Linked DNA regions of Arabidopsis thaliana. The protein of the gene in region 1 interacts with the protein of each later gene in a pairwise test. Each region holds a gene or a part of one and is shown on either strand. Other genes may lie near its edges.

Region 1 (5,001 bases):
CCCGGTGAATCGGTTGAACCGGCCGGATGTGGGTTTTAAAAAATTCTCTTCATTTTGGAATAAAATGTGGGATTTTAAACTTTCTTCAATTATTTTTATAAGTTTTTTTAGTTCTTAAACTCATTTGATGTTTTAGATTTTGGTGAAGATTTCACAATGCGGCCTTAAAAATGAATCGAATGGTGATATATGCAAATGAGATTAGTTGTTTGAATTCACGATATTTCATTAATTTGTTTCTATCATTAGTGATCTTCTATTATATTTGTTACGATGTTAGACATTTAGTTGAATTTAAAATTTTTAATCACTTTCTTATTATTGTTTGATTTTATATATATATATATATGTTTTTTTGGTGTAAATGATTTTATATTTTATCAAACATAATATGATTTTATATTTTTTTATTAAACATGATATGATTATTTTGTTTTCTATTAAACATAATATGATTATTTTGTTTTCTATTTATAAAAATTGTAAAATCTCTATTAATATTTACCCAAAAGGTAGTCCGGTTCACTGTTTGGGTCAGTTTTAAAAACATTGGTTCAAGACATCAAAGCCGTGGGAGATAAAAAGGTTAAACGAACATAGATTATAAGCACAACATTACTTATATCTCAAACGTTGGGTTCAATACATTAAAGCCGTGGGAGATAAAAGGTTAAACGAACATAGATTCTAAGCACAACATTACTTATATTACTACCTACTATTGTAGTTCTATATTTCTTCCTACCAACACACAAACAAAAAGAACTTTACACAAAACTACTTCACTTATCTTAAGACAGAAAATATAATTAAGGCTTGGACACTACTAGCAAGTTTCGTGTTCTTCTGCATCAAACCGAGGAGGCATGACTCTCTTTCGTACCAGCATTTCCGCAGTAACTTGTTTCCTCTTTAGTCCACCTCTCGGTCTTGAAGTGAAATCTTCATCAGTTTCGACAAAATCACCCTGAAACCACATTCAGTTTTACATGAGATTCTAGTCTTTTGAGTTTGTAAGAAAAACACGATAGTATGTAGGTTGGATGAACTTACGCAGGTATATACGTGATACCCGGAATTCTCGTGCTTGTTTCTGACATGTTTGTAAGCAAATCTCATGCCACAACCGGGAAAGCCACAGACAAAGGGACGTATATCATCGTGCACTGCTTTCATGTGTTTCTGAAGATTAGAAGCCTGAGAAATAATCGTAATGTAATTAGTGATGTTGAATAATCTGGAAACGAAACTTGTTTTGGACTATATAAGTTTGACGTAGCTCAGGATGTTTCTTTACCTTGGAGAAAGTCGAAGAGCAACCCTCAACTTCACACTTGATTTCTCCTGGTGAGGAATCTTCATCATGAGTCCGTAGATGTCTCTTGATGTTCTTTTTCAAATGCTTAGAACCACATATCTCACAGTTGATGTGCTGATGACAGGATCTTATGTGTGACTTGAGGCATTCTTCGTTGGTAAAGTACTTCATACACCCAGGCTCGGAACAAAATGCCTCCACAGAGTCTAATTTCACTGCAAATGTAAATCTAAACCTTCAGAGATTGAAAATCTATCAAGCTTTAACAAACAACTGTCTTTAATTTATAACAAAGCACATAGAGAGGAAACGTAGAAATCTTCATATGCCCAGGATACTAAACTAGAGGGAAAGTAAGGGTAGGAAGGTGCACTTACCATGAGAATCCTGATGCTTTTGAAGCTGTGAAGGATACTTAAAGGCTTTTCCACAACCAATTTCTTTGCAGACAACCTGCTTCTGACCAGTTGAACACTCCGCAGGCTGAGAATCGCCATTACCATTATTGTCCTTACCACTTCCGCCATTCCCTTCATTTTCCTTCTCACAACCGCCACTACCAGATTTTTCCTTATCATCATCCCCCTTACAAGTATTGTCCTTATCACCATCGCCCAAACCAGTATTGTCCTTATCACGGTTGTCATTACTATGATATTTCTTAACATGCCTACCAACATTTCCCTGTACTGAGAATTCACTCTTGCAGTTCTCCTTCGGACACTTAAAGAGCTTCCCTTTATGTGTAAGAAGATGCCTATTGAGATGATCCTTCCTCCTATAGCTAGCAGCACAATCATCCACATAGCAAGTAAAAGATCTCTACACACCAAAAGAGTGAAAACCATCAGAAACATAGCTCATTGGCGAAAAGAAAGTCCAAAGCAAAGTGAAACAAAACAAGCTATTGAACATCAGACCTCAAACATTTTGCGTGATCGAGGCTTACTTGCTGGAGCTTCTCAGGAGGTCTCCCAACCTGATACTAGTCCATAACATGTAGCCTCGCATTTTGGAGTTCTCTCTTTGGGATCCAATGCCTCACGCAATAACATAGGTAAGACCTTTTGATTTAAACAAAAGGCTATTTATTTCCTGCAAATGTATAAACTTTTAGTTCACAACCAGAACAAAACTCAACACTAAGCAAAATCCACGAGTATCTCTATGTATCTCCATCTGTAGCTGCAACACACAGAATGGGAACAATTCGACTTCTCATGACAAGAGGATGCATAAATCTACCTCGAGCGAATGACTCTGCATATGCTGCTTCAAGTGAGCAGGTTTCTTAAACTCAGCACCACATTCTTGACAAGTATGATTACTTGAAGACTCCTCATCAACCTCACAAGCTTCATCATCTCTTTCCTCTTCAAGTTCCATCTAAACAAACGAATCATAGAAACTCTCAATTCAACAAACCATCGCCGATTCTACAGACTCAACTCTCAATTTCATTGAAAACAAATCAAGATGCCACGGATGAGAAATTGGAATCGAATTGGAGGAAGATCTCAAACCTGATGATGAGATTGGATGTGTTTAGTGATGAGATAGTTTTTAGATCTGCTGATTCCGCAATACTGGCATAGATAATTGCGTATATCCTTCTTCGCCGAAGTCTTCACATCAACTTTAGCTTCTTCCGCCATGTCTCTCTTATTGTCTACAGAAGAACTAGGGTTTATCTCCTCCATCAAGACGCCGCACAGTAGAAGCTGAAGTAACAATGGCCATTTATATATCAGCTTCTTTTTTCCGGGAGTGAGAAATCTAACCTAGAACACTTGGGCTTCTAATTGTATAATGGGCCTTTCAAGCCCATATAACAAATTTAAATTAGAATTACAACAAATTTGCAAAATCGAGTAGAAAATAGACAAGGGATCTTTGCAAAACGAAAAGTTAGACTTGTGCCAGGAAAAAAGGGAACAAATTTGAAACGTCACAATCGGTCCATTAAATCTAATGGGCCCTGCATCTGTAACATTTTTGAAAAATTTACAGTCGATAAGCTCAATTAGGTCATCGTTTTAACAAAGGGTAGGCCCAAATAAAAAACCAGTCCAATTCAAAAACAAGCGTTTTTTTAAACAATAAAAAAATGATTATGTACTTATTTGTTATCCGCACGTGTCATGTGTGCTACACAACTTCGTAAAGATGACAAATAACACCTCAAGGACAGGACACATCACCATTTTTTAACATTTTTTCCCCATAACGATTTATTAAAAAACGTATTAATCCCATAATCATATCTTCTAATTAATTAAATAATTAACCACACCACAAAATTGAAATTAATGATTTTAATCAATAAAATTAAAAACCCTAAAACGCAACTTTCTCTCTTCTTCTTCCTCTGTCTTTGCGCCAAACCAAAACCCACACAAAAGCCCTCTTTTTTGTTATCCCCTTCTCTCTCTGAAACTAGGGTTTCTATTTCTCTGAGTGATGTGAAATGCTCGTGTAAACGGAAACGATGCAGAAGATTCTGTGCAAAAGTACCACTTCTTCAACCCCTGTTCTCTCTACGCCGGTGAACTCTCTCGCCGCCGGTTTTATCTCTCTAGGGTTTAAGACCCCCGTTAAAAATCTCCCTCCTTGTTCTACTACTAAACCTCTCTCCACTTGTTTCTTCTCTACTTCCGCTATGCCGACCACAACGGCTTCTGTTTCTTCAGGCGGTGTTGGTTTCTCTGCTTATCTACAGAGGACTGTTCATAAACCGGCACCGGCGTCTGTTCGGTTCTCAACAGCTGGTTACCGGACTTGCCGGTGTTCAATTGACGGTACGAACCGGGCTTGGGTTGGTCGAACTGGGTCTTGGCGTGCGTTGTTTTGTTCAGACTCTACTGGTGGTTTAACCCCGGTTAATGCTACTGCTGGAGCAGTGGTTGAAAGCGAGGAAGAGTCTGACGGAGAAGATGAAGACGAGGAGAAAGATGAGAAGCCTGTGAGGATGAACCGTAGAAACCGGAGCTCTAGTGGAAGTGGTGAGTTTGTTGGTAATCCAGATTTGCTGAAGATTCCTGGAGTTGGTTTAAGGAATCAGAGAAAGCTTGTTGATAATGGGATTGGTGATGTTGCAGAGCTCAAGAAGCTTTATAAGGATAAGGTACTTTTGAATCTTCAATTTTTAACTTGCGGGTTTTGAGACAAGTATTGAAAGTTTCAATCTTTATTTTTGGTTGGTTGATTTGTAATCTCAGTTTTGGAAGGCTAGTCAGAAGATGGTTGATTATCTTAGGAGCTCTGTTGGGATTATACATAGAAACCATGCGGAGAGTATAACAACGTTTATTAAAGAGAGTGTGGATGATGAGCTTAAGGATTCTGGCCCTGAACCTAATCTAAATGTGAAGAAACGTTTGACGTTTTGTGTTGAAGGGAACATCAGTGTTGGTAAATCAACTTTTCTTCAGAGGATAGCGAATGAGACTGTTGAGTTACAAGACCTTGTTGAGATTGTTCCTGAGCCAGTTGATAAGTGGCAAGATGTTGGACCTGACCATTTCAATATATTGGATGCTTTCTACTCTGAGCCTCAGAGGTATGCTTATACTTTCCAGAACTATGTGTTTGTCACTCGGCTGATGCAGGAGAAAGAGTCTGCTTCTGGGGTTAAACCTCTCAGGTTGATGGAAAGGAGTGTCTTCAGTGACCGAATGGTAATT
Region 2 (4,044 bases), on another chromosome or scaffold:
GCGGTGGAAAGACGATGAATGGGGATGGCGACGAGATCGAGTGGATGCAGCGGAATGAAAGGGGAACGAATTGTACTTCCAAGAGTGATGAAAGACTCTTAGACTACGAGCTTGGATCCAACTTAGATATTACACACTAAGAAGAAAACAAGTTGAAAAGATACTACACACTTTTCAGATCAAACAAGTGAAAGAGAAAGTTTTTGATTAAAATGTTTGATGATTACAAATGAGAACTACAATGAGTTTATATAGGAGAGGAGGAAGAAGGGGAAGAGGTGAGAGAAGAAAGACATGCAAGAGCATGCACAAGTACACACTCATGCAAAGAGTTTTGGAAATAACAAAAACAATAAATGCAAAGTTTGAAGAGAAAATAGAAAATGGGCCACGGCATTGTGAGTGGGCCTTGGACCACGAATTGAGCTGATAAAGGGAGGCTTGAAAGTGTTCCTTAGGCCTCATTAAAAACCTTGTCAAGAAAACCCATTGGGACAAAACTTGATAAGGGAAAAAGAATGCATAAGCAACACTTAACCCTTTACCGAGCCTCTTGAGCCGTGATCACTATGAAGGAGGATTGAGTCACGTCTTCTTGATTCTTCTTTAGCTCCTTGAGTAGTCCATTGATAGCTTGGTTGAACTTCTTAGATTTTGATCTTGTTAGAGGACCCGCCAGAACGATTAATGCTTCCTCCGGTACAAGCTGCTTCTCGTCTTTTTGTGGTTCAAGTGGTTTGGTTGCCTTGGTCATGTTCTCATCGCATGAGTTTGGACTTGAAACTACAAATACAAAACATAGAAACAGAAGACAAATATTATCATTAAACCAAACTGATGAAGCAGAGAACCAGTTTGATTTCGATCAATTTCCCTCATACATATATGTATGGAAAACTGATCGAGGTCAAACCAGACCCTTTCATTCATTACATTGCTAAAACATATCTGTAACCAAAATTAGCAGAATCAATACATACATATAATAAAGAAGTAACTAGAAGTTAGTTTGAAAACTGCAGAGAAATTATCTTCAAAGTGCTGAAATAGTGTTTGCAAAGTCTTTGAAACAATCAGAGAATCGTAGATTATCTCCATCCAAACATCTCTGAAAATAAGAAAACGGAGTTAGATCCACCGAGACTTGATCATCAACAACAGCGTTCAAAATACTTGCACTAATCTCCTGATGAGTAGTGTTGTCCGAAAACCAATCATTTAGCGCGCTCTCAAAAGGCGTGTCGAAGCCAATGTCTTGATCGTAATCCAGGTTCATTTCAGGTAAAGCAGCGTTGTTATCCATAACACAAAAAGTTTCACAAATCGAGCGAATCTGATCTTGTTCTTCAGTGATCTCATTGAAATTTTCAGGTGAATTATCAGGGACGCAACAAATTGCAGAAGTACTCGACTGAATATTTAGGGTTTGATTTGGCTCTTGAGTAATCTCGTTGAGATTTTCTGGGATGCAACAAATTGGAGAAGCGGACTGAAGAATTAGGGTTTGATCATGAGTTTCGTGGTCTGAAACAAAATCGCACTTGTCGTTGTTCTTCAGGTCCTCGCGATCATTAACGAAAGCTTGATTACAGGCTAAAGCTTCATCCGCACGCAATTCCTTGAGATTCCTCAACAGCGTCCGCATAGAGTCGATCGCTTCACTAATCTCTTGAGGATTCTCCGATCTGGCAAGGCTCTCGTCGTTCCACCAAAAACCTAACCCTAGATTATTGCGAGTCAAACAGATACCAACGTCCTCCCTCGTCTCTTTGTTATCCTTCGGAACAGGACGTTGTCCGGAGAGAAAAGCAGAGACAACGGCATCAACAGAGGAGTGACCGAAAGAGTAGAAGGATACGTTGGATTCAGAAGAAGGAGGAGTCGCTAAGATAGCGATCTGTGCGTCTGAGAGAAGACAAAGCTGAGAGGCTTTGCTATAGAGACCTTCACGGCGTTTGGTGCAGGTAACCCTAAGGGAATCTCTCTTCTGTATCGTCTCAATCGCAATCTTCCTCTTCGTGCCACCTTTTTTCACCATTCTGATTGATTTTTCTCAATTTTGTTGAGTGTGGAGAAAGATAATTGAAAAGTGAAGGCTTCTTCTATCTCTCAGTCTCATATATATAAGGGAAATATCGAAACCCCATATCAATATCATCCACCTAAACCGATTAAACCACATGGACCGTAATCTTGTATGGGCTAAGCCCAACTATCCACCAGAATCCTTTTTTAGTGCAGTCTTATTTATTTTTATTTTGATAATTTTTAGTTATTGTATTATGATTCAGATTTATTTGGAGATATTTTTATTTTTCAAAAAATATTATTTTGCTAGATTCTACAAAAAAAATTTTGTCAGATTATTATGAGAGAGACAAACAAATATATAGCTGGTTCTTCACATTATCGTGTTCATTCTTTCTGGTTCTTCACTCCTTAAAATGTGGCTATGGAGTTGACAAAGGTGACCTGGTAGCAGAAGAAAACTTTGTTAAAGACCTACTGAAAAACAATAGTCCATCAAATAAAACTAACAAAAAAGCCTATCAGCTATCCTAAACACACAAAACTCAAAATATCAATACCAAGAAGAAACAATTGTAATTGGTGACTATAGAACAAACCTTGAGAGAGGGTCATCAACATATAATCACTGACTGATTTCATTGGAGCTTAACCTTGACAGTGTTTCAAAAACACCTAGCAATATCTATCACTCAGTTTACTACCACTGTCTAGAGCAACCAAATCGTCCAGACTTTCTATAAAAACGTTGTTTCTTAGTATTCATCAATTTTTTGTCAAAAATATTTGCAATTATACTGTTTTTGTCTTGATCATCTATTGTAGACTGGATATTTGCACATGTAATGTCAACAATTTCATCTGTTGTTGTACCATTAGCAGAAAAAGAAATGATTCTCAAATTTGGGGTTGGTCAGTCAACAGAAGATGATTCCAAAGCATCAAACGTTTTTGACCTCTCCTCCAATTTCTCTTTACATACAATTTCAAAAAGAAAAAGATTATCTCCAACTAAACCCTAAACCTAAAATTTTCTAACTGAAGGAAAAAAAATCCCCTAAAATTCTCTTCTGCCATTAGAACCAGAGTTTTTAAAGAATTGCAGGAAACCTAACTAAATAATTTGGAAACATGAGAAAAAAAAACATCAGTTTATCTACATAGGCGCGATGATAAGCTACGAAGAAGGTAGCGTCCGGTCGAACCAGTTAGAGAGATTTGAGATTTTGGCTGCTACACTTTTATTTCGACCAAAGAAAGTCTCTGCATTGGACAACATAACTGATACGTCGTGTCGTAATGCTTCCACACTTCGGTAATAGTTGTTCTCAAGCCTTGATCTGATTACTTCAAGAGACAAAGGAACTGGGAACCTGCAGAATGAATCCATAGAACAAAACCATGTCAGCTTTGGCTCCACCAAAGACTCTTCCAGGGTTGTAGAAATTTACCTGTTGGAGTAGCTGGAATTTCCCACGGTCTGGTTCAGTTTTCGGAGGCCAAAAGAATCCTGAAACAAATTAGCCCACATTATATCAATATTGTTAGTTCTTGGGATAATGTTGTGTCTTAATCCACTAAGCTTTAGAATGTGATCTATAAACCAACTAAGCTAATGTAAACATGGGCCTAAGCTCTTTGGGTGAAGTCTGAATTTGGTGGGGAGGATAGGCTAGATTTAACACCATGAGATATTATATTCATTAGGATCACATACCTGGGTTCTCTTGTCTGAAGTCTCTAACTTTGTTAAGGCCGAGAGCAAACGGTTTCGTTGCTCATCATCAATGTGAGGCTGCTCCCACTTGGTATCTGCATCAAAAAGCTCCCAGGGACTGTGAAGATGTGTCTCGGCAGGGTCACTCTTGTACTTAACTGTGTACCTCTCCCACGGACTATCAGGAAAATCAGGTGATTTGGGTTTCACAGCTAGAATCCGTCCTTCCCACCAACTACCATCTTCTTCGCCTTCGTCTCTCCACCAAACTTTACACTTGTCCCTGCAAGTCCAGTTCC
Region 3 (4,698 bases), 220 kb from region 1:
TAGTTTATCTCAAGAAGTCCATAGAAACCTTCAAATTTCCATTGACACCAATTATTTTCACCATGGCATGAGGGAATTAGCTCGATACGGGTTCAAAATTAATCAAACTATCAAAGGCTTGGATGGATTTGATTATGAGTTAAATAAGTTTCACTTAAATTTGTAACGCTTTTCCTTAAAGTACGACCACGACAGAAGAAGGCACACAAATTGAGGAATCGCCTCTCCTCAACTTGGTGCAGTTAATATATACTAATTAATTAACACTTATGTTATGGATCCTGTAAATAATGAATGCATTAACTTTTTTCAATTAAAAATAAAAACGAAATTTAATCAAAGTATATCATAGAGAATAATATATAGTGGATTCTGATAACTTAATTTGCTAAAAAAGTTGTATATATGTAGACCGGCCTCAATTACTTAGGAATATATGTTTATTAAACCATAAATGATTAAACAGACTGGACGAACTTATTTCCTCAAACCAACCGTACGTGGGAATAGTCTCTCCGGCGAGGAGTTTACGGTGTCGGTTAGTGGCCGGCGCCAGAGCTGGTGGGAGAATGTTTGGCCTGGTCGCTATCAACAATCGTTGAGCTTGAACATATCCTCTTCACGTCATATCTATTTATATCGAAATTGGTTACAGCGTTTAGGCCTCTGAATTTAATTGCCGCGATATCGTACGCCTCCGCTGCTTCTTCTTGCGTGCCTTCATCATAGTTACAAAATGTGATATTTAATAATTCAAAGGCTATGATATAATTCCATATGTATAGAAGTGGTTCATACTAAATGTTCCAAGGTACAAGTCCTTGTTTCCAGCAACTCTTCCAATTCTGGCTTGCCACCTTCCATGTTGATGATGCCTACATGAGTTATACATGCATGATCATCATGATCTAATTCCATGCATGTACATGTACATATATAAATATATACAAGTTTCACATATATGTCCAAATCAAACCTTGTAACTCCTCTATACACGGAAGCTCCCCTCGAAAACCCGCTGCTATTCCTATGATTATGATATGTAATTACAAAGCGTTTGTTAATGGTTAAATGCATATGACTATATAAGGTCCATAAATATCATTACAAACCCACTGTTGAGTAATTACCTCCTCAACATGGCAACAAATTCTTGCCGATTCATGTTATTGAGTTCCTCGATCTCCTTTTCGTAATTACTCAACTGAATAAAAGAGCGTCAAAGGAACTGATATCACAAGCCAAATCTATGTAGTTCCATCAAAATCAAGTCAATAAAATCGGAAAATGATTACATTCAAGATCCAAAATATCGAAATAAGTATGGAAACTGTTATGTTGCATGTATATAAGTGTACATATATAAAACACACTTGCATGTAATAAAGGAGTTAGAAGTGGAGCTAGGTACGGGACCAGAAAGATCAAACTCACAGGGAAATTTAAGTGAGTGGTAGGACCCCAATACTTCAGAGCCGCTAAATCATATGCCCTCGCTGCTTTCTCCTCCTCATCATACCCTCCTATTTTAGTAAGTATTAATTCTACTATTAAATGTTTTTCTATAATTATCAGAAGGTAACAAGGTTAATTTTTACTTCGAAGGCCAAAAATAGGGCAACAAGAAATGAACGAGGGATCTCATGCATAATAGGTTGTAAAATAAAGTTCTGGCTTACCAAGATACACTGTGATTGATCAAGAAGCGAATTCGAAAGTACATACGAAGCCAAAATTAAATAATTGTTAGTAAGATTATTGATGCATGATAGCATATTGAATCGGAAAATTATTTTGTATTTGTTTTTTCTGACCTTGTCTTCCTCTCCTTGTCTGTCCCTCCTTCTTACAGCTATTATCCCATAAGTGAGCTTCATATCTCCCTGTCCATCTATGCCTGTATACACGCACAACATAAATATGTGTCGACACAATTATACATAATCTACAAAATAAAATGACAAATATACATAAGTAACATAATTGTGGCATTCACATTTTTCTTACGTGTAAGTTTGAGACATCATTTAAACCAAAACAAATGTTTGAGACGTCATTATTTAATAACGTACGTACCTTGTAACTCCACGATACTGAGAAGTTCTTTGTCCATAACTATCAACCGACTTCCGAGGAACGGATTCCTTTACCTGAGGTTTAACAACCAATCTCTTCCGCTTCTCATCTACCTTAACCGGTTCTTCGACCCGTGCGGATACATTCGATTCGTTGATCAAATCAGAACAAGCCCCATGGCTCAAAGCCAATGATAGCATTGAGCCATTGGTGTTATAACCAGTCTCTTCGTTACTAAAATGACTAATATTATTGCTCGTACCAGCCTCTTCAGTAACGTAATGACTCGAGAGTGGGAATGCTGGAGTGCCTTGCTCTAACCAAGATTTGAAAACCGAGACCGAACCGACCCTCTCAAAACCTCCATAATCATTGCTAAGGTTCGGATCTAGGTTCGGGTAATGTGGTGTAACTACGGTTTGGTCGTGGAGAAGGTAACCGGGTGGGTTTAACCTGTTAACCACAGTGGTGCAGTTGACATTGGTTTGGTTATGGTTTATAGGATACTCGGTTTGATGAGAGTTTGAGAGGAGATCTTCCACCTTTGGAACGTCTTCATCATGATGATGATGATCAAAGTTAATATCATATCTCCAAACTACACATAAAATAGAAATCAAATTAAGAATATTAATAGTGGCCACACCAACAACATATATATACCAGGGGGATGATGTGTGAAGAAGAGAGTACCATCGGAACCGTCATGCCTAAGTTCTTCTTCTTCACTATTGCAGATTCTCAAAGGAGGTGTCAATGAAAATCCCAACCATTTCTTCATCTCTCTCTCTCTCTCTAGCTGTCTTTCTCGCTCTTAGTTTATATGTATAGGGTTTCGTTTTATATGATTTGTAGTCTCATACGTGCGAATATACATTAATATTTTTCATAAGTCTAAAACATTTAATAAATTATATAATTAAAAAGGTGGAAAAAAGATTTGAGACAAAACAGGTGGCGGTGAAGTTTTGTCGTAAGCATGAAAGAAAGGAAGAGGAAGTTTCTCTCTCCCTCACTCTTTCACATTCTCTTTCACACACACTTGCATCTGACTTCTAGAGTTTTGTGCCCACTCTCCCTCGGATCTTTTCGATGTATACGTATATATATATGGGAGATACACATGACACACTACAATGAAAATTTTCGTTCTTTGGTATTTGATTAACTTTTCCGTAAAAAAAGCACACAGTAGCGCTTAAAAAAGTCAGTATTTTGTTTCTTTCGAAATATGTTAATTAGACAATAATACATTTCTTTTATTAATGTCTTTCTTTCGATATAATTTGGGATATTTTTTAATAAACTTAAAGAACATTACATAATTTAAAAGTAAACAAAATTTGTACTAAAATTAGTAGTATTGCAAGGAAATTTCTCCTTAGACGATAAAAATGTGTTTTTGATTGCTCATTCAATCGATCCGTTTGAAAATGATTCTAACTGTGATGGAGAAGCCTGAAATGATCTTGCTGTTTTCGCAGATTAGACAAAGATCAATCTAAAAGATAAAAGATATATATAGCTGGAGTGTTTGGCAATATGCTATCTAACTCATAAAATTTGCCTCAAGTGTGAGAAGCGGATAATGTGACGGTATAACCTTTGAAAACAGACACACAAAATATGATAGAACAAAAGAATAAGTGATCTCTCTTATTTGGTTGATTATATTGCATATGTTGCTTATAGATAGAAAATGAAATTGTGTTCCAAGCTGTTAACCAAGACTTAGTGGGTAGTTTGTCCATACTCGCCACCCACATAACGAAATGTCGTTCTACACAAAAAGCCACAATTGTTTTCTTTAACAACTGAAAAATGAATTTGTGATTTTATATCTTGCTACGGGCATCGGAAATATTCCAACCTCTTCTACGAGGTAATCGACAATGCCATTACAGAACAAACCTTTTCTTACAATTACCTAGTTTGTAGTATACAAAATAAAAATCGAGAGGTCTTAGCTACAGAAGTTGTCTCCATGAATAATTTCACAGTAAGTAGTTTAGTTATATGTATTAATGTGACAATTTGTTTTATAAAACATTAGATTAAGAAAGTGAAAAAACACCATTATATTTGCTAACTCACAAAACATTTATACATGTCTATCTTAATCTATCAGTATGCAACACCTAAGGCCTAAGGTGAGAGAGATTCAAGCCCATGGGCTGATTTACTGAATTCAGATGACGGTTAATTTTCAATTCGCTGGCAATAATATTTATAGTTCTCTGGGAAAATATTCTGCAAGCTAATAAAAATCTGTGTATAAAAAAAAAAAAACCCTACAGCTCCGTCTTCTCTCCAGTCTCACAATTTTCCTCATATTTATAAATCCGTAAGGGAAATTTTCTAGAAACTCACCAAAAAAAAGTATTCTTTGAATTCAAAGAGAAACCCAAACTAGGGTTTCCATAATCCCTTTTCTACTATATCTCCCACTCTCATAAATCCGATCGCTAAAATCGCCACGATCCTTACTTTCTGGTAAGCTCTCAAGCGAAACCCACTAAAAGTTTCGTCTTTTTCTTCTTCGCATCAAAATCTGATAAGGGAAGAGAACAGTGAAGGAGAGAAGCTAGCTGACGATACTAATTCAAGGCATTGTTTGACTTG

What was found. Proteins that work in one complex are often made in the same cells at the same time.
Region 2: the proteins of TFIIIA (region 1) and AT5G49420 interact in a two-hybrid assay, tested with the Arabidopsis thaliana proteins (one large-scale study listed by BioGRID).
Region 3: the proteins of TFIIIA (region 1) and AT1G72570 interact in a two-hybrid assay, tested with the Arabidopsis thaliana proteins (one large-scale study listed by BioGRID).

Annotation. Positions count from the first base shown.
Region 1 is NC_003070.9:27,113,054-27,118,054, reverse strand, and holds TFIIIA (transcription factor IIIA), read right to left. Parts: upstream 3,035-5,001; 5' UTR 3,019-3,034; coding exon 2,842-3,018; intron 2,705-2,841; coding exon 2,564-2,704; intron 2,414-2,563; exon of another isoform or gene 2,248-2,413; coding exon of another isoform or gene 2,239-2,247; intron 2,141-2,238; coding exon 1,696-2,140; intron 1,534-1,695; coding exon 1,298-1,533; intron 1,198-1,297; coding exon 1,054-1,197; coding exon of another isoform or gene 968-1,053; coding exon 827-967; 3' UTR 546-826; downstream 1-545. Other genes in the region: dNK (P-loop containing nucleoside triphosphate hydrolases superfamily protein), read left to right, coding at 3,807-4,442, 4,537-4,995. UniProt on the Arabidopsis thaliana protein: Essential protein. Isoform 1 is a transcription activator the binds both 5S rDNA and 5S rRNA and stimulates the transcription of 5S rRNA gene. Isoform 1 regulates 5S rRNA levels during development.
Region 2 is NC_003076.8:20,034,133-20,038,176, forward strand, and holds AT5G49420 (MADS-box transcription factor family protein), read right to left. Parts: upstream 2,074-4,044; 5' UTR 2,039-2,073; coding exon 1,034-2,038; 3' UTR 981-1,033; intron 784-980; 3' UTR 540-783; downstream 1-539. Other genes in the region: AT5G49430 (WD40/YVTN repeat and Bromo-WDR9-I-like domain-containing protein), read right to left, coding at 3,206-3,401, 3,480-3,538, 3,746-4,044.
Region 3 is NC_003070.9:27,329,540-27,334,237, reverse strand, and holds AT1G72570 (Integrase-type DNA-binding superfamily protein), read right to left. Parts: upstream 2,858-4,698; coding exon 2,770-2,857; intron 2,675-2,769; coding exon 2,077-2,674; intron 1,898-2,076; coding exon 1,815-1,897; intron 1,689-1,814; coding exon 1,680-1,688; intron 1,524-1,679; coding exon 1,435-1,523; intron 1,205-1,434; coding exon 1,131-1,204; intron 1,028-1,130; coding exon 977-1,027; intron 876-976; coding exon 799-875; intron 719-798; coding exon 540-718; downstream 1-539.